Linked DNA regions of Stegostoma tigrinum. The protein of the gene in region 1 interacts with the protein of each later gene in a pairwise test. Links are inferred from orthologs where the notes say so. Each region holds a gene or a part of one and is shown on either strand. Other genes may lie near its edges.

Region 1 (10,445 bases):
GTTAGAAATACAGCAAATTCTGACAATCCGCAATGCGATTACGACAAAATAGTCTGGTTTTTGTGGTTAAGTAATAACTATTGGACAGACACTGAGGCGAAGTCTCCAAGACTGCTTCAAAATAGAGTTCAGGGATCTGTTACATCCAACTTAGAGGACCGATTGATAGGACAAAGAATTCAGAGATATTGTAGTTTTTAACAGATAAAGAGCACAGCATTGTAGGCTTCTTTTGTCACTTTCCAAGACGAATTAAAAATTCACCAAGAGCTTGCAATGCACAGCTCAGTCTTTGACGTGTTTACTTAATTTGTTGAATGTGGTAAAACAAATCTCTATTTTGTGATGAAGTAATTAGCCATTGCCTTTTCAGCAGCTTCTATTAAAAATTAAAGCTAGCCAGTTTCGAGATTTAACTAATCCCCATTTACAAGAAAGTTGAAGTCAGAGGAATAAAACACAGTAAAATTCAATGCTAAAAATGAAAAAGAATAAATCTAAAGGATAACACACGGAAAATTCATAGATCTATTGTACAACGCAACTAGTGGCTTAACTCTGCTACTGTCTAACATGCCACCAAGGCAATTAAGAAAATGGGCTTTTCATTAAACATTTGTGAACAAAGGTCCTGTACTAAATTGGCTCCACTACTGTGCACGGCCCCCCGTTATCAAAGTCCAAGAGACAGCCTTGGGCAACATGGATCACTTTCTTTATCCTGGGAGCCAACTGACACCAATGGCAGACATCAACACTGAAATTTAAAAACACCTTCAGTGTGTCAGGATAGGCTTCAATGGATGTGAAGCATTTATATCTTTAGAAGGCTTTTGATAGCATGTCACACAAGAGGCTAGTAAACGAAATTAAAGCACATGGGATTGGGAAGAACATATTGGCATGGATAAGACTTGATTAACAGACAGAAAGCGAACAGTAGGGCTGAACCAACAAGTCTCAGGGGGCATTACTTTATTTGTGAAGCAAAGTATATGTCAGTGCTGGGTCCACGACTGTTCACAATTGATACAAATGATCAGTACCTGGCGACCAAATCTCGAAATTTGCTGACAACACCAAATGGGAACACAAGCTGTGAAGAGGCTGCAAGGAAGCTTCAAGAGGATGCGGCCAGGCTAATCTGGGCTAGAACATGGCAGGGGAAATATTATGTGAGTAAATGTGAAAGTATTCACTCTGGTAGAAACAACAAAGATGAAAATATTTAAATAGTTGAGACAATGGGACATAATGGGGTTTCAAACGGATCTGGATGTCTGTGTCCACAAGTCACTAAAAGCATGCGGATGAAACAAGCAATGAGAGGTGATGCCAGTGAAATTTACAAAATTCTTACAGGGCCATGACAAGCTGGATGTACATAGGATGTTTCTCCTGGTTGGAGAGTATAGAACCAGGGAGCATAATCTCAGAAGGTATACGCCATTTAAAACTGAAATGATGGGGTATTTTTCCACTCATAAGGTGGAGAGCGCTCAGTCACTGAGCAGTGTAAAGACAGAAATTAATAGCTTTCTGCAGACTAATGACAGCGAAGAATGTGAAGAGTGTGCAGGAAAGTCATATTGAGGTAGTTCAAGGAGTAAACCACTCTTGTTTCAACAGGTAGCCACACCATTAGACCTTCACCTGAGGCCATCTCCTGACCATTGAGAACACAGCATTTTATATTTCTCACTGTTAGTGAAGTAAGGTATGTTCATTAGGATAAATGGTGAATAGAATATGACATCTTAGAACCTACTTAAATCAGGTTCCAACTGGCCCTCCCTGTTTGAAGGAGGGAAGATGGCCCTGGTGTGTAGTTGATTAGGTGTGGGATGTCAAGCACAGTTGGCTGGGGAAGGAAGGAGGCTACAGCGTGTCTCCAGAATTGCATCTACAACACTTAGCCCCATCAAGAGACAAGAAATATTTGCAATTTTTAAAATTCATTTATGGGGTGTGGGATTGCTGGTCAGACAAATTTTTTGCACATCCCTAATTGACTAGAGGGCAGTTAAGAGTCAACCACATTGCTGTGGGTCTGGAATCACATGTAGGCCAGACCATGTAAGGACAGCAGATTCTTTCTGTAAAGGACATCAGTGAATCATATGTGCTTTCTGTCCCCCCCACTGACAATTGGCAACACTTTCATGGTCATCACCAGATTCCTAATTCCAGATTTTTATTGAATTCAATTCTGTCATAGCAGGATTCGAACCTGGGTCCCTTGATTGTTTCATGGGTTTCTGGATTATAAGCGTAGAGTTTGTACCACCAGACCATTATCTCCACATATAGTGCTTTTCACAACATCAGGAGATCTCAGTGCTTTACAGCCAACTTCTATAACTCAGATATACTATTTCAATGTTATCAGCTCTGGTCAATAAGAACACAGAAATTAGAAACTCAAGTAGGTCATCTGGCTCCTTTGAGCCCACTTTGTCATTCAATATGGTCACAGGTGATGTACCTGTGGTTGTGGCCTCAACTTCACTTTCCTGCCTGTCTCCCACAAGCCTACAGTCCCTTATTGATCAACAATCTGTTTAACTCGACTACTGATACATTCAACAATCCAAACTACAGTGCTCAATGGCAAACCAAATTCCACAGGTCATGGCTTTGAGAAATGTCTCCTAATTTCTGTCCTCAATGGGAAAATCCTTATTCAGAAACTATATTCTCTAGTTCTAGATTCCCCTATAAATTGAAATATCCTCTCAACATCCAGCCTGCCACGTCCCCTCAGAACTGTACAAGTATCAACAAAAGGCTGTTGACTGATAAGGTGACATTTGAGACGATTCCTTCATTTGCAGAGGATACTAGGACTACATAGGGCACAGTTTAAAATGTTGGTATTTCCCATTTTGTAGAGTCATCTGGCCGGTTAAGCCTGCCCCACCATTTAATAAGATCATGGCTGATCTTTTTGAGACTCATCTCCACTTACCCGCCCACTCACCATAACCCTTAATTCCTTTACTGTTCAAAAATTTATCTAGCCTTGCCTTAAAAAACATTCAGTGAGGTAGCTTCAACCACTACACTGGGCAGGGAATTCCACAGATTCACAACTCTTTGCATGAAAAAGCTCCTCTTGGGCCTCAGTCATATATCTGCTTCAATATAAAGGAAAGCAATGCCCTCTAGTCCTAGTTTCACCTGCTCGCAGAAACAACCTCCCTGCCTCCACTTTATCTATTCCCTTCATAATCTTGTGTTTCTATAAGATCTCTCCTCATTCTTCTGAATTCCAATGAGTATAATTCCAGTCTACTCAGTCTCTCCTCATAATCCGAACCTCTCAACTCTGGAATCAACCAAGTGAATCTCCTCTGCACCCCCTCGAGTGCTCGTATATCTCTTCTCAAGTAAGGAGACCAAACGGCCTCACCAGGACCCTAGAGAGCTGCAGCATAGCCTCCCTGTTTTTAAACTCCATCCCTTGAGCAACGGCAGACAAAATTCCATTTGCCTTTTTAATAACCCACTGCACCTGTAATCCTACTTTTAGCGATTCATGTACAAGGACACCCAAGTCCCTCTGCACAGCACCGTGCTGCAATTTTTTACCATGTAAAACATAGTCCATTTTGCTGTTATTCCTACCAAAATGGATGACTTCACACTTATCAACAGTGTACTCCATCTGCCAGACCTTTTTACCACTCACCAACTATCTACATCCCTCTGCAGACTTGCAGTATCTTTTGCACACTTTGCTCTACCGCTCACCTTAGTGTCATCTGCAAATTTTGACACACTATACTTAGTACCCAACTCTAAATCATCCATGTAAACTGTAAACAATTGCAGTCCCAACACTGTTCGCTGCGGCTCAGCACTAGCCACCGACCAAACAAAATAAAAACACCCATTTACCCCTGCTCTTTTCTTTCTACTGGTCAACCAATCCTCTCTCTATGCCAATACATTACTTGCCTTCTGGAAATCCAGATACACCACATCCACAAGTTCCCCATTGACTACCATGCAAGTAATGTCCCAAAAGAATTACACCAAATTAGTTATACGTGACCTACCCTTCATGAACCCATACTGGGTGTTCCCAATGGGACAATTTATATCCAGATGTTTTCCTATTTCTTCCTAAATGATAGATTCAAATAGACTTATTCATGAACATATTCAATTTTTTAAAAACTCTAACAGTACCTACATCCACCACTACCTCCAGAGGTTCATTTCAAACATGAACCACTCCTGGTGTGGTAAAAAAAATTGTCCCTCATGTTTTTTTTAAATCTTTCTCCTCTCACCTTAAAAGTACAACCCCTTATGTTGAAATCTCTCACCCTGGGGAAAGACACCTGCTATTGACTTTATCTACAACCCTGGTGATTTTTATAAACCTCCATGGAGGTCACCTCTCAACCTCCCACACAATCCAGTGAAACAAGTCTCAGCCAATGCAGCCTCTTCCTTATATCTCAAACCCTCCCATTCCTGGCAACATCCTGGTAGAGCTCTTCTGAACCCTCTCCAGTTTAAATAATACCCTTCCTATAGCAGGGCGACCAGGACTAGGCACAGTATTCTACAAGAGATTTCTCAGAGGGTGAAGAATCTTTGGTTCTATGACTCGCTGAGGAAGAGAATTTCAGGGAATCCCTGCAGCATGGAAGTGGTCCATTCGGTCCATCGAATCAACACCAACCCTCTGAAACAGCACTGGCCCCGCGCATGGGGACACAGCCCGCACCTAATGCGATTTCTTGTGGTTTTAAACTTGAGGGGGATGAGGGAGTTCTCCTCGGCCAACACTATCGTTAAAGGTGGGGGAGGGAACCTGCAGTCTGGGATCTTCCTGTGCACTGATTAGGGTGGGGTGAACAAACGCAGGTATCCTCTCCTTCCCACCCAGATGTCCCGTGGGAGGTTGAGATCCCGCTTACCTGAAGCCTGCAGGAGCGGGTATAATGAGAGCATTTCAGGAGCGCGCACCCAGGCTCCAACGCCGCCATTAGGCCCCGTCACCTGGAGACGAATCGCGCAGCCGCAGTGCCGCCACCCCGCCGGCAGGGTGAAGGTGAAGGCGAAGGCGCAGGCGCAGGACCGGCCGATGGCGAGGAAACCCTGACGTTGTACGCAAACGTAAAACCGGCGGCGTGGAAGAATCATGGCAATGTGCGCAAGCGCAGGGCCGACGGCGTGGCGGAACCTGTACTGTGCGCAGGCGCGGAACTGGTTACAGTGAAAATGGATACAGAAGAGGGCGGGATTGATACATTGAATGGGAGAAGATTTTAGGTGTGTTAGGCTTTATCCAGTGCTGGGGAAAGATAAGGGTTATTCCTTTAGACTTACGTCCGTGTGGATAAAAACAAGATACTGGAAGTCTAAAATAAAGTTGTGTGTGGAATATTTCAGGATGAGACAGATTAGTGGCAATAGGACCCGCAGATGCTGTAGAATCTGAAATAACACAGTGTGAAGCTGGATGGACACAGCAGGCCAAGCAGCATTTCAGGAGCACAAAAGCTGACGTTTCGCCCAAAATGTCAGCTTTCCTGCTCCTGAGATGCTGCTTGGCCTGCTGTGTTCATCCAGCTCCACACCTTGTTAGTTGAGATAGATTCGTGATCGGTCAGGGAATGATGAATAATGGGGAAAGGGCAGAAAAATGGATGTGAGGAATGCCAGGTCGACCGTGATCCTGTTGAAATTCCGCAGAGTTTTGCGGAGCCGAACAGCCTATTTGTTATCATCCTTTGGTGTTATGCTTCTAATCACCACACTGTAGGAAGGACGTGTTTGCACTGGAGGGGTGCAGAGAAGATACCGCCCCCTCGATCATGACCCCACACCCGAGCACCAAACCATCATCTCCAACACCATTCACAACCTCATCACCTCAGGGGACCTCCCACCCACAGCCTCCAACCTCATTGTTCCCCAACCCCGCACGGCCCGTTTCTATCTCCTTCCCAAAATCCACAAACCTGTCTGCCCTGGTCGACCCATCGTCTCAGCCTGCTCCTGCCCCACCGAACTCATCTCCACCTATCTGGACTCCATTTTCTCCCCTTTGGTCCAGGAACTCCCCACCTACGTCCGTGACACCACCCACGCCCTCCACCTCCTCCAGGACTTCCAATTCCCTGGCCCCCAACACCTCATATTCACCATGGACGTCCAGTCCCTGTACACCTGCATTCCGCATGGAGATGGCCTCAAGGCCCTCCGCTTCTTCCTATCCCGCAGGCCCTACCAGTCCCCCTCCACCGACACTCTCATCCGCCTAGCTGAACTCGTCCTCACACTCAACAACTTCTCTTTTGACTCCTCCCACTTCCTACAGACTAAGGGGGTGGCCATGGGCACCCGCATGGGCCCCAGCTATGCCTGCCTCTTTGTAGGTCACGTGGAACAGTCCCTCTTCCGCACCTACACAGGGCCCAAACCCCACCTCTTCCTCCGGTACATTGATGACTGTATCGGCGCCGCCTCTTGCTCCCCAGAGGAGCTCGAACAGTTCATCCACTTCACCAACACCTTCCACCGCAAACTTCAGTTCACCTGGGCCATCTCCAGCACATCCCTCACCTTCCTGGACCTCTCAGTCTCCATCTCAGGCAACCAGCTTGTAACTGATGTCCATTTCAAGCCCACCGACTCCCACAGCTACCTAGAATACACCTCCTCCCACCCACCCTCCTGCAAAAATTCCATCCCCTATTCCCAATTCCTCTGCCTCCGCCACATCTGCTCCCACGATAAGACATTCCACTCCCGCACATCCCAGATGTCCAAGTTCTTTAATGACCGCAACTTTCCCCCCACAGTGATCGAGAACGCCCTTGACCGCGTCTCCCGTATTTCCCGCAACACATCCCTCACACCCCGCCGCCGCCACAACCGCCCAAAGAGGATACCCCTCGTTCTCACACACCACCCTACCAACCTCCGGATACAACGCATCATCCTCCGACACTTCCGCCATTTACGATCCGACCCCACCACCCAAGACATTTTTCCATTCCCACCCCTGTCTGCTTTCCGGAGAGACTACTCTCTCCGTGACTCCCTTGTTCGCTCCACACTGCCCTCCAACCCCACCACACCCGGCACCTTCCCCTGCAACCGCAGGAAATGCTACACTTGCCCCCACACCTCCTCCCTCACCCCTATCCCAGGCCCCAAGATGACATTCCACATTAAGCAGAGGTTCACCTGCACATCTGCCAATGTGGTATACTGCATCCACTGTACCCGGTGCGGCTTCTTCTACATTGGGGAAACCAAGCGGAGGCTTGGAGACCGCTTTGCAGAACACCTCCGCTCAGTTTGCAACAAACAACTGCACCTCCCAGTCGCAAACCATTTCCACTCCCCCTCCCATTCTCTAGATGACATGTCCATCATGGGCCTCCTGCACTGCCACAATGATGCCACCTGAAGGTTGCAGGAACAGCAACTCATATTCCACCTGGGAACCCTGCAGCCATATGGTATCAATGTGGACTTCACCAGTTTCAAAATCTCCCCTTCCCCTACTGCATCCCTAAACCAGCCTAGTTCGTCCCCTCCCCCCACTGCACCACACAACCAGCCCAGCTCTTACCCCCCACCCACTGCATCCCAAAACCAGTCCAGCCTGTCTCTGCCTCCCTAACCGGTTCTTCCTCCCACCCATCCCTTCCTCCCACCCCAAGCCGCACCCCCATCTACCTACTAACCTCATCCCACCTCCTTGACCTGTCCGTCTTCCCTGGACTGACCTATCCCCTCCCTACCTCCCCACCTATACTCTCTCCACCTATCTTCTTCACTCTCCATCTTCGGTCCGCCTCCCCCTCTCTCCCTATTTATTCCAGTTCCCTCTCCCCATCCCCCTCTCTGATGAAGGGTCTAGGCCCGAAATGTCAGCTTTTGTGCTCCTGAGATGCTCCTTGGCCTGCTGTGTTCATCCAGCCTCACATTTTATCATCAGAATGTTGCCTGGGATAGAGTGATCAGCTATGTAGAGAGGTGGGGATAATTAAACAAGGAACCATATTTTTTAAAAAAAACCAAAAAACTGCCAATGCTGAGAATCTGAAAAACAGAAATTGCGTGAGAATGCACAGTTAAAGGTCCAGGTCCAGTGACTCTTCACCAGAACTCAGTTTTTGCTCTGTTTCCACACTTAAATGCCAGACCTGCTGAATTTCTCAAAGAACTCAAGATGCTGGAGATCTGAAGCAAACTGTTCTGAGAGGCATAGAATTGGTAAATAGAAACATTTTCCCCTTTGGAGCAGAAAGTTTAGAGGGGATTTGAGGAATTTTCATCCAGAAGTTTGTATTTATGTGGAATTCATTCCTTAAAAGGGAGGTAGAGATGATATTTAAGAAATATTTAGATGAATACTTGAAACACCATGGCATACAAGGCTAGGGGCCAAGTGCTGAAAACTGGAATTAGAATAAATGATATTTGAAAACTGGCACAGGTGTGATGGCCTGAAGGGCCCTTTTCTATGCTGTAAAATGTTTTGATTCTAAAAACACAAAATTCTGGAGAAAGAGAGATGGTGGGAACTGCAGATGCTGGAGAATCCAAGATAGTAAAATGTGAGGCCGGATGAACACAGCAGGCCAAGCAGCATCTCAGGAGCACAAAAGCTGACGTTTCGGGCCTAGACCCTTCATCAGAGAGGGAGATGGGGTGAGCGTTCTGGAATAAATAGGGAGAGAGGGGGAGGCGGACCGAAGATGGAGAGAAAAGAAGATAGGTGGAGAGGAGTGTATAGGTGGGGAGGTAGGGAGGGGATAGGTCAGTCCAGGGAAGATGGACAGGTCAAGGAGGTGGGATGAGGTTAGTAGGTAGATGGGGGTGCGGCTTGGGGTGGGAGGAAGGGATGGGTGAGAGGAAGAACAGGTTAGGGAGGCAGAGACAGGCTGGACTGGTTTTGGGATGCAGTGGGTGGGGGGGAAGAGCTGGGCTGGTTGTGTGGTGCAGTGGGGGGAGGGGATGAACTGGGCTGGTTTAGGGATGCAGTAGGGGAAGGGGAGATTTTGAAACTGGTGAAGTCCACATTGATACCATTAGGCTGCAGGGTTCCCAGGCGGAATATGAGTTGCTGTTCCTGCAACCTTCAGGTGGCATCATTGTGGCAGTGCAGGAGGCCCATGATGGACATGTCATCAAGAGAATGGGAGGGGGAGTGGAAATGGTTTGCGACTGGGAGGTGCAGTTGTTTGTTGCAAACTGAGCGGAGGTGTTCTGCAAAGCGGTCTCCAAGCCTCCGCTTGGTTTCCCCAATGTAGAGGAAGCCACACCGGGTACAGTGGATGCAGTATACCACATTGGCAGATGTGCAGGTGAACCTCTGCTTAATGTGGAATGTCATCTTGGGGCCTGGGATGGGGGTGAGGGAGGAGGTGTGGGGACAAGTGTAGCATTTCCTGCGGTTGCAGGGGAAGGTGCCGGGTGTGGTGGGGTTGGAGGGCAGTGTGGAGCGAACAAGGGAGTCACGGAGAGAGTGGTCTCTCCGGAAAGCAGACAGGGGTGGGGATGGAAAAATGTCTTGGGTGGTGGGGTCGGATTGTAGATGGCGGAAGTGTCGGAGGATGATGCGTTGTATCCGGAGGTTGGTAGGGTGGTGTGTGAGAACGAGGGGGATCCTCTTAGGGCGGTTGTGGCCGGGGCGGGGTGTGAGGGATGTGTTGCGGGAAATACTGGAGACGCGGTCAAGGGCGTTCTCGATCACTGTGGGGGGAAAGTTGCGGTCCTTGAAGAACTTGGACATCTGGGATGTGCGGGAGTGGAATGCCTCATTGTGGGAGCAGATGCGGCGGAGGCAGAGGAATTGGGAATAGGAATGGAATTTTTGCAGGAGGGTGGGTGGGAGGAGGTGTATTCTAGGTAGCTGTGGGAGTCGGTGGGCTTGAAATGGACATCAGTTACAAGCTGGTTGCCTGAGATGGAGACTGAGAGGTCCAGGAAGGTGAGGGATGTGCTGAAGATGGCCCAGGTGAACTGAAGGTTGGGGTGGAAGGTGTTGGTGAAGTGGATGAACTGTTCGAGCTCCTCTGGGGAGCAAGAGGCGGCGCCGATACAGTCATCAATGTACTGGAGGAAGAGGTGGGGTTTGGGGCCTGTGTAAGCGCGGAAGAGGGACTGTTCCACGTAACCTACAAAGAGGCAGGCATAGCTGGGGCCCATGCGGGTGCCCATGGCCACCCCCTTAGTCTGTAGGAAGTGGGAGGAGTCAAAAGAGAAGTTGTTGAGTGTGAGGACGAGTTCGGCTAGGCGGATGAGGGTGTCAGTGGAGGGGGACTGGTCGGGCCTGCGGGACAGGAAGAAGCGGAGGGCCTTGAGGCCATCTCCATGCCGAATGCAGGTGTATAGAGACTGGACGTCCATGGTGAATATGAGGTGTTGGGGGCCAGGGAATTGGAAGTCCTGGAGGAGGTGGAGGG
Region 2 (10,631 bases), on another chromosome or scaffold:
CCTCCAAATCACACATCTTGGCTTGTGAAATGGGTTACAATACTCACTGTCATCGTGTAATGGCTTCGGGATCTTGGAGCAATCTTGCAAGGATGTCATGGAGCTGCACATCAAAAGGATAAAAAGCACAGTGTGGATACCATAAGAACACACTGAACACTCTGGAAGAGCATTACTAGAATAGCAACCAAAACTAGAAAATCCATAAGTACGTGGACTTGTATATACAGGAACATATATAAACTAGGTAATGAGTAATCTAAGTCATATGTATCTATAATTATCCTATATTGCAGTATTTAGAATGAATGTAGAATAAGAAGTGATACTTTTAACTCCATGCCTTAAGATAGTTCTTGACTTTCCCTTCTCCTCAGCCAGGCTGTGTCCAACCCAAACTCAGTGTAGCAGCAAATTATTCAATAAAAGAACAGACACTGGGTCAAAACATGAGAACTACCCCCCATCAGCAACACCAGGTCTATACCTATATGCTGTGGAATGGGGAAGCTTCTTACTGCTATGTTCACAAAATAAACTGTGAGAGGCAGGCATCAGTGATTTCTTGATTCCAGGATGGCATCTATTTAGGGACATGAGTTTCTTCCCTTGATCTTCATGCAACTGAATAGGCTGATTCTCAATCCACAGATATATGTGCAATGATACAAACTATGGATGTATAAATAGATATTTAATGTTTATGTTGCAAGTTTGGGGTTCTGGCTTTTGAGTTAATAACCTGTGAGTTTTCTGTGCATCTCAAGTTAATAATTAACATGCAAGTATTTCTGTAGTTGAGAATTCTTTTAACAGCTTTTAAGGTTGGCTTTCAAATGAATGTGTTTGTGTGCACCAGTAATGAGTTTTTAAAATCTATCTTAGGTTGTTTTGGGACCCAGCAAGATAGATAATGGGATGTCAAAGTAGTGTTCCCTCTAATTCTCTTTTTAGCTGTGTGAGCCACCAAGGTCCATGTGCAGTCTGATGAAGGGTCTAGGCCCGAAACATCAGCTTTTATGCTCCTGAGATGCTGCTGGGCCTGCTGTGTTCATCCAGCCTCACATTTCGTTATCCATGTGCAGTCACGCAGCTAAGAGGGAACATTGGCCTCAAGGTTTGTTTGAAATTTCTAGAACATCTTTCTTTTAAAGCTTAATGAAAGAACCCGTACTTTACAGAGGGATACTTCTAGTTCCAGTATTGAGCGGTTTTGCGCAGTCCTTTGAATAGGAAAGCTATACAGGCCAGTACTCCTGGGATGTATATAGTAAACTAGATTACCTTAAAGGTGAACAGTTAGAGTTAATGCCAGATTAGAAGTGTTAAGATAAAACCCTGAAGAGGTGACTTAAAGTGGAGTACATTGAAGTTTGGGTGTATAATGACTTCTTCCTGGATCCCTTTGCAGTTTCCGTCTAAAAGTTGGAGTCACAAGTGACTTAAAACTATCGAGGTTTTAGATGTAAGGACTCTGGAGTTAGCATTGCACAAATGGTATTTAGGGTACTATGCAAAAGCTGTTTTGTTTCTTTCAATTTATGAAGGAGAGGTTTGGGATTAATGGGATTATATTTTGACTATGTTTAAAAATCTTTAATTTGATGTTAGAAGTAGATGCTTTGGTTCATCTTATTACATCTTAATTTGTTTTGCTAGTAAACATCTGTTTTATTGTTAAAGCAAATCTGCAGCAATGCGTGTTTATGTTCTAGCAAGAGATCACTTTGTTAAAACCAAAACAAATCAAAATATGATCTACCAAGCCAGATTTCTATCTGAGACCTGATTTGTCCAATAGTAATATCAACTGAGATTATAACAGAACACATGAGGTGTGAGATTCCAAGCGTTAACAGGATCTGGAATACAGGAGTTGCTCCCTTCTTTCCTTCTCTGTTACAAGATGCTTTGCCTCAAAGCACAAGGGAACCTCATGAACAAGTTGTCACCATTTTAAATGATTGATAGCAAGCTGTATGCAGTCATTAATGTCAATGCTGTTGCACTTCAAATAGTACTCGCAAACATATTTGAAGCACTTTCTTGGTTCTCCCATGGAATGATGGACCAGTCAGATGAAGTGCTTTTCAACCATGCAAACATGATGACCAGCCCACTGTAGTTGATTTTGCATGTGTTTGCCTGATTGTTTATGAGCTGGCTGCAAGGATGACGCTAGGTTTTGGTCAACAATATTGTCATTGAATCTAGAGAATGCACTGATATTGCTTTTGGACATTGTCTGTTACTGTTACATGGTCAAGGTCTCTCTCACTGCACTATACAAATGTAATGGTAATTGCTGTTCTCGACATGAAGACTACTGTTTATTTTCTGACATTTATTTGTTCTCAAAACAATAGTTCGTGGAAGAACAGTTTGAACTGGCATTAACTGTTCTGAGGAAGGGTCACGGGCCCTGAAACTTTAACTCTGTTTTCTCCTCCACAGATGCTGCCAGACCTGCCGAGCTTTTCCAGAAACTTTGTTTTTGTTCCTGATTTACAGCATCCGCAGTTCTTTTGGTTTTTAACTGTTCCAGTGTTGAATCTCATCAATGGTGACCTTTAAAGGTATGGAATATGCTCAACACATTCCAGAGTCTATCCCTTAATAGGAATATTTAACTAATTTGGTCTACTTAATATAACTAATGTTTTAGCAAAATTCAAGAGCAGGCTGAGTCACTAGTATACAGAATTGAAGAGATACAAAGTGGCTTACAAGTATGGTCTACGATAATCAATGACAACAGTTATCTGCACATTACAGGACACGTATTTTTACGGTATTATGGACCAGACCAGACTCTTTCAAAATATTTTACGAAGGTAGCCTGGACCCTAACACGAGGTGTCCTGCTCAGTCATGATACACTTCTGTTGATGGGTATTCAATTTTCTGGAGAAAACACCCAAGAAGTCAATCTTCTTGTCAGAATACAGCACCAACACCCACAGCACACACATCAATAACCACCTTGAATTGATTTGCATAATTAGGTGTGGCTAACACTGGGATAGTGGCTAACACAGCTTTCAGGCTGTTAAATACCTTCTGACAGTCCGTCCTCCACTGAAATTTTCTGCACTTCCTCATTAGGTCAGTCAGTGTTACAACCACACTACTGAAATTTGGTACAAACTTCCCATAAAACCCAGTCAAAACCAGGAATCATAGTACTGCAGTCTTCGTCGATGGTAAGGGAACTCGCCAGTAGCCTTTGTTTTCACACCCCATGGGGGCATCTGTCCATGTCTGATAACATGGCCCAGGAAAATGGCTTCAGCTTTTGTGAATTCACTCTTAGTCCAGTTTATCACCAAGCCTGCCTCCGAAGTCGATTGAAAAATTCCGATAAATGGTGCAAATGTTCCTTCCATGTGTGACTAATAATCATTAATGCACACCACACAATCAGGTAATCCAGAAATAACTTTATTCATTAGTCTTTGAAATGTGACCAGAGAATTCTTCATACCAAATGACATGACTTTAAATTGCTACAATCCATTCAGGGTCACGAAAGCCAAAATAGTCCTCATTCTTTCAGATAAAAGGTACCTGCCAGTATTCTCTGAGTAAGTCCAACTTTGAAATATAAGTCCCATGTCCCACCTTCTCAATACATTCTTCCTAATGTGTAATAGGATACGAATAAGGCTTTGTAACTGCATTGACTTCACAATATTCTACCCATAATTCTTGGCTACCATCTGGTTTTAGCACCATTTCAGTGAATGGGCTCCAGTCGCCGCAACGTATTTTGACTTTGTTGTCCTTAAGCAAGCATTCAATCTCTTTTTGAATCTGTGCCAAATTTACAGTGTTAGGTCAATAAAGATGTTGCTGGAATTGAATGCCATTTCCATGTCATGCATTGTTAAATTAGTACTTCCCAGTTTATATGCACATATGTCCCAATGCAATTGTAATAACTCAGGTCTTTTCAACTTCCCTCTGGAAGGTAATTCAATAATGTATCGCAATTTTTGAGAACTTCCTCATTGTCCAAAATAATTTGAGGAAACAATGAGCTGGAGGAACTCAGCAGGTCAAGCAGCATCAGAAGAGCAGCAAAGCCAACGTTTTGGGTTTACACCCCTCACCAGGATTGGGGATGAGGAAGGGAGTTCAGAAATAAAAAGAGGAAATGGGGTGGGGCTGGAGAAAACTAGGTGGATTGCTGATAGGTGGATGCAAGTAGGGGGTAGTAGAGATTGGTCAGTGGGAAGGGTGGTGCAGATAGGTGGGAAAGAAGATGGACAGGTTTTGTCAGGTCAAAGAGGCAGGCATGAAAGGGAGGGTTGGACATGGGATGATGCCAGGGGTGGAGAGATTTTGGAACTGGCAAATTTTATGTTGAGACCATTGGGCTGTAAGCTCCAGAGTGAAATATAAGGTGCTCTTCCTCCAGTTTGCGTGTGGTGTCATTATGACACTGGAGGCAACCCAGGATGGACAGATCACCAAGGGAGTGGGAGCGCAAGTGTAACACTTCCTGTGGTCGCAGGGAAAGGTGCCAGGTGTGGTAGGGTTGATAGGGAGCGGGGAGTAGACGATGGAGTCATGATTGGGTTTCCACTGGGTGCTCTGGTTTCCTCCCACAGTCTAAAGATGGGTAGGTTAGGTGGATTGACCATAGTGTCCAGGATTTTGCTGAAAGTGGATGAGCCATGGGAAATGCAGGTTTACAGGGACAGGGTGGCATCCTGCTCCTCTGATGCTACTTGGCCGACTGTGTTCATCCAGCTCTACACCTTGTTATTTCAGATTCTCCAGCATTTGCAGTTCCTATGATCACTAAAACATTCACATCACTTAGGTACTTTACTTTAAACCAGATGTAGTACGACGGCATGCATCTTCAGTCCTATTCTGTTCCATTTTATATTTAACACAGCTATCGAAGATATACACGCGTTACGTTTTTAAAATTCTCGGGCGAGATCACTCAGAAAATAGCTCATAATGTTAGGTTTGCTTTCTTTAAGCTGGTTTGAATTGATGCCCTCTGAGCCGAATCCGTTCTATAAAACGAACGCCAAATACTGGAAATTGTACTTAAGTCGTTAAGATAATAAAATGTGAGGCTGGATGAACACAGCAGGCCAAGCAGCATCTCAGGAGCACAAAAGCTGACGTTTCGGGCCTAGACCCTTCATCAGAGAGGGGGATGGGGAGAGGGAACTGGAATAAATAGGGAGAGAGGGGGAGGCGGACCGAAGATGGAGAGTAAAGAAGATAGGTGGAGAGAGTGTAGGTGGGGAGGTGGGGAGGTAGGGAGGGGACAGGTCAAGGAGGTGGGATGAGGTTAGTAGGTAGCTGGGGGTGCGGCTTGGGGTGGGAGGAAGGGATGGGTGAGAGGATTAACCGGTTAGGGAGGCAGAGACAGGTTGGACTGGTTTTGGGATGCAGGGGGGGGGGGGGGGAGAGCTGGGCTGGTTGTGTGGTGCAGTGGGGGGAGGGGACGAACTGGGCTGGTTTAGGGATGCAGTAGGGGAAGGGGAGATTATCATTATCTCTGATACTACTTAAGTCGTTAACTCTGTTTCTCTCTCTCCAAAGATGCGGCTGAGTTCTCCAGCACTTTCTGCATTTTTTAAAAAATTTCAGCCTTCTCACATGATTTTCAAGCTGTTAACCACATCGATTGGTCGGCCAGACCCGCTGCAGTACAGAAGTGGCCTATCACCTCCCTATTTGTGAAGAAGGGTCCCGACCCGAAACGTCAACAAAGTGTGGAGCTGGATGAACACAGCAGGCCAAGCAGCATCTCAGGAGCACAAAAGCTGACGGTTCGGGCCTAGACCCTTCATCGGTGAGGGTTCTGGAATAAATAGGGAGAAGTGGACCGAAGATGGAGAGGAGAGTATAGGTGGGGAGGTAGGGAGGGGATAGGTCAGTCCAGGGAAGACGGACAGGTCAAGGAGGTGGGATGAGGTTAGTAGGTAGGAAATGGAGGTGCGGCTTGAGATAGGAGGAAGGGATGGGTGAGAGGAAGAGACAGGCTGGGCTGGTTTTGGGATGCAGTGGGGGGAGGGTACGAACTGGGCTGGTTAACCCTACATCTCCTTTGCTGCCTGATCTGCCGTGTTCGTCCAGCTCCACAGTGTTGACTTCGACTCCGACATCTCCAGTTCTTGTTATCTCCCACCTCGCCGTTCAGCTTATCAAAGGTAGTACGAATGACATGCACCTCCATCAACGGCTCTATCACGTGTCGCTGGTTGACAGCCGGTGTCACGTGCAGGTCTGGCCCAGAAGCCCCGCCTTTACGTCGCCAGGCGGAGCGAACCGGTGGTTTTTAGAAGGAGGAGCCGATAATGCGCAAGCGTATTAGCTTGGGTGCCACGTGTCACCTGTGGGCATGCGTAGTGGTTCGGTACTGTTGTCGGTCGGAGAGAGTAGGCCTTGTTTAGCGTTGTAGTCGGTGTCCCTTTTGAGGGTGGGCGGGGGAGTTTATTTGTTTTGCGTAAGGTATGGCTGGTTGGGCAGGATTTTCGGATGAGGAATTAACACGCATAAAGCAACTAAAAGGTAAAAGAAGGAATCGTGATGTAAGAATTGAATGATGATTCTGATTTTGGGGTGCAGTTACAGGAGAGTGATGGGGAAACTTTTTCGAAACAGAAACGCTGGCCAGAATTAATCATGACCTGAATAAGTGTGGATGAGCTAAAAAGTCAGCATGGGTTTCGCAAGGTCAAGTCTTGTTTAACGAGCTTGGAGGTTTTTTATTTGAAGAGGTACCGAAGAGATGGAGGATAATCTTGATGTCGTGTATTTGGATATCCAACATTGTTTTGGTGTACTCCTACTCATCAGACTCTCTTAAACTATAAATGTGTGTATTAATATGGGTGCAAGATTGGCTTAGTGACATACAAAGGGTGTATTAATGGCGAATAGTTCCTGTAAGACTGGCGAAACGCTTAGAAGGCGATTCCACCGTGGGTTGTTAGGATTTCATAATCCTCCTGATGCATTAATGACTGAGACTGTTGCTACAGAACACAAATGATACACAGCTTGAAAGTATGAAGCACCTGGAGGATGGTGCAAACTTGATCTTGTGCTTTAAGGCTACATTGTCATTGAGGTACCTCCTAAGTATCATGGAATATGGTTGTGTGCAGATTTGTGTATTTAGATTATCAAAAATGGCTATTTTCTATAAAAACTGAGACTGTCTCATGCTCAATTTAAACTGGTGTTGTACTGAAAATGACAGTGCAGGCTTGAAGGGCTGAAGAGCCTGTACCTGTGCTGTATTTGTTCTTTGATTACTGAAGTCAATCATGTGATCAGTTGCATGATTTTACATAAATCTCATCATGGTAAAAACTTCATATAAGTATGCAGCAGTTGTAATTTAATGCAGGAAGTATAATGTAAATCGTTTTGGTCGAGCAATGACATGAGTACTGTTCTCAGTAGGGTATAGAAGCAAGGTGACCTGGATGTAGGTGTACATAAGTTGTGGAAGATAGCAAGGTAGGTTGAGAAAATGGCTGATAAAGCCCATTATATCTCAATGGACACTTGTGGTACATTGCTAATATCCTTACATCTGAGCCAGAAAGCTGGGGTTCACATTGTATTTGTCCAAAAAGTATGTTAGGGGCACTAATTGTGAGATCCTACATGTATGCCTGGACTGTCTGTGCCTCTGCACACTGCCCCTGAAGCAGCTGTTTGGAATAGAGACTGTTATGCATCTACTGGAATGTGCCTGGACAAAGAAAGTCTGGAGAGAGATGCAGTGGTTTTTGTCAAGGTTAATCATGTGCACTATGAATTATTGGCCAGGACACACACTGAGGTGATCGTTGACTGCACCTGGAGAACTGTCATCTTGGTGAAAGACTGTCCTTGGTCTGCCCATAACCTGTTGGCTTCCAGAGCAGCAGTTGACCTTGCCCACGTGTGAACTGGCATGTTCCATATGTTCTAAGGTCCAGGGCTACATGCTAAGGGATGCATTAAAGCCTGGGGCAGCTGCTGCCAAAGTGCAGTGGGGAAACATTGCTGTCTAAGGTTTTTCTGCTGAAGTACATTTAGTTATTGGACCCTCCCGGTACCTCAAATGCATGTAAATATAGTCTTGAATAAGTGAGAAGTGCCTTGGGTTTGTTTGTCTACATATGTAAAGACTGTGTAAAATTGAATGAGTGATTATATATCTATATGTAATAATGGGTTGATTGAATGGGGCGGCAGGTGACTGAGCAGTTAGCACTGCTGCCTCACAGCTCCAGAGACCCAGGCTTGATTCCACCCTCGGGCAACTGTCTGTGTGAGGTATGTACGTTCTCTCCATGTCTACATTGTTTTTTTTCCCCACAGTCCAAAGATGTGCTTCTTTGATGTTTCAGGCTTGATAGATTGGCAGTGGGGATGCGGAGTTGGAGGTTGGGTCTGGGTGGGATACTCTTTGGAGGGTTGGTTTGGACTCAGTCAACCAAATGGCCTGCTCCCACAGTGTAGGGGTTCTGTGATTCTGTGATGGTTCTATGATTAGAAAATATCTATGATGCCTTTAGGGTTTATCAAAAGGGTAGGGTACAAAAGCAGGAGGTTATGTGAAATCTATATAAGACATTGGTTTGCCCTCAATTGTAGAATTGTGTCGACTATACTTAAAAGATATGAAGGCATTAGATAGGGTGCAGAACATTTACAAGAATGGCTCTGGGGATGAGATACTTCAGTTGGATGAACTGGATACAATTGGATAGGATCCTTGGTTAAGAGAAAGTGAAGGTGAGGAGATTTGATATTAGGTATTCAGAATCATAAGGGCCCTCTCCAGTGTAGATGAGGAGAAAGCATTTCCAATGGCAGGATTGAGAAACCGTGCAGATTTAAGATAACTGAAAGCAATGTTTGACGTGAGTAAAACCTTAATCCTGTAGTGAGTGGCTAGGCTGTGGATTACCTTACCTGTGAGTATTCTGGAGGTATTGGCAAATTAGGCTTTCCAAAGATTATTAGATTGTGATAGAATCACAGTCTACAGCATGGAAACAAATTTTGGTCCAACCAGTCTAGCCAACCATAATCCCAAACTAAACTAATCCCACCTGCCTGCACTTGGCCCATATTTATAATCCATATCTGAAATGGTAAAATTTCCAGGACTAAGTGAAGAAGCAGGGAAGTGACATGAAGTAAATTGCCCCTTCAGAGGCCCAACACAAACATGACATACCAAAAGCCATCTGTCTTTTATAACCGTTCTGATATTTCTATAGCTGTTATTAGAGGTTTTCTTCCTTGGTCTGTCTGTCTGGCTGGCCATCAGCTCTGATAGAGGTTGCTTATTGTGCTTTCAGGATGGTATGGCTGGGATCCGTTGCCATTATTCTACTGTTCCATAGCTAGCAAAGCAAACTGTAAATATGATTGATTAAGAATAAGTTGGATGGTCTGGCATCACTGAAGTCCTGAATGTGATAGCTCTCAATTAGTTACTTCTAGAAAGAAAGAGCTCGCATTTATATAGCCTGTTTCATGAAGGACAGGCCTCAAAGTCCTTATTAGGTGATTTTGAAGTGTGGTCACTAATTCATGTAAACAGGACACAAGAATATGTGCATGGTGAGGGTTCATAATCTGCCTTGAGATGAATCACCTAGTTAAAACTTTGTAGGTTTGCCATGCTGTAACCATTGGCTAGAATTTTCTCGCACATCTTTGAATAGCATCACAGCGTTCTGCATGAATGAATATGGTGTACTAATGATTGTAAAATTAATCTTAAATCTGAATTTACAACAACACCAGAAAAAGTATTTTTTCAAATGTTGTACAAGTTCACCTCCTAATATCCTTGGGAAAGTATCTGCTGTTGTAGGCCTGCTTACAAGTAGATGATACTTCATAAAAGGACAATGGGTAATAAAGGGGAAACTTGAAAGATTTTCCATTTGTATAGAACTGTTCATGACTGCACAATACACCATACCACTTGACAGCCAATGAAGGACATTTGAAGTGCAGACATTGACCAGGAAGTATTTCTGCTTTGTTAACAATCACCCCTACCTCAAGAGCAGCTCTTAAAGGACAGACATGTTTTAACTTAGCTTAAGTTTTAACTTAAATGATGAAATTTTGAAAAATACTGTGCTGTCAGTGCTGAAATAGTGTTTTAAATTCCTGGAATGGGATTTTATTTCTTCATCCAATAAGGGTTTTATGGCTTAAACACTTACTTTTGAAATGTATTAAGTTATAACAAGCACAGCATCACTTCTGCATGCAATGTCTTGAGAGAGACCTACAAATATTTTCTGGTGTAAGTTGAGGGAGAAGTACTGGATGTAATTCTGCAGCAGTCGATTTTCTTGAAACATGTTGAACAGAAAAAACAAAGTAACATTTGTTTCTACATCACCTGAGAGCTTTGAAACCTCATTTTAAAATTATCTGCCGTTGGTTTCGCACCACCTAATTTTTAAAAGCTGTGAATGTCAATTGAAGAGATGCAATTACAGACTCTGAATATGGTTTTTCATCCCATTGAGATTTACTGCAAAACCTGAAGTGCAAGGGCAAACACGTTTATATTCAAGTAGTCCTTTTGTGTTCTTGGCACACCGCAAATTGCTTTACATACGATG

The links.
Region 2: the proteins of rchy1 (region 1) and gorab interact in a two-hybrid assay, tested with the Homo sapiens proteins (3 studies listed by BioGRID and IntAct). The link is inferred for Stegostoma tigrinum from reciprocal best matches to the Homo sapiens genes RCHY1 and GORAB.

The regions. Positions count from the first base shown.
Region 1 is NC_081354.1:2,946,013-2,956,457, reverse strand, and holds the start of rchy1 (RING finger and CHY zinc finger domain-containing protein 1), read right to left. Parts: upstream 5,052-10,445; 5' UTR 5,004-5,051; coding exon 4,935-5,003; intron 1-4,934. UniProt on the Homo sapiens protein: E3 ubiquitin-protein ligase that mediates ubiquitination of target proteins, including p53/TP53, TP73, HDAC1 and CDKN1B. Mediates ubiquitination and degradation of p53/TP53; preferentially acts on tetrameric p53/TP53.
Region 2 is NC_081361.1:47,132,431-47,143,061, forward strand, and holds the start of gorab (RAB6-interacting golgin), read left to right. Parts: upstream 1-6,364; 5' UTR 6,365-6,485; coding exon 6,486-6,543; intron 6,544-10,631.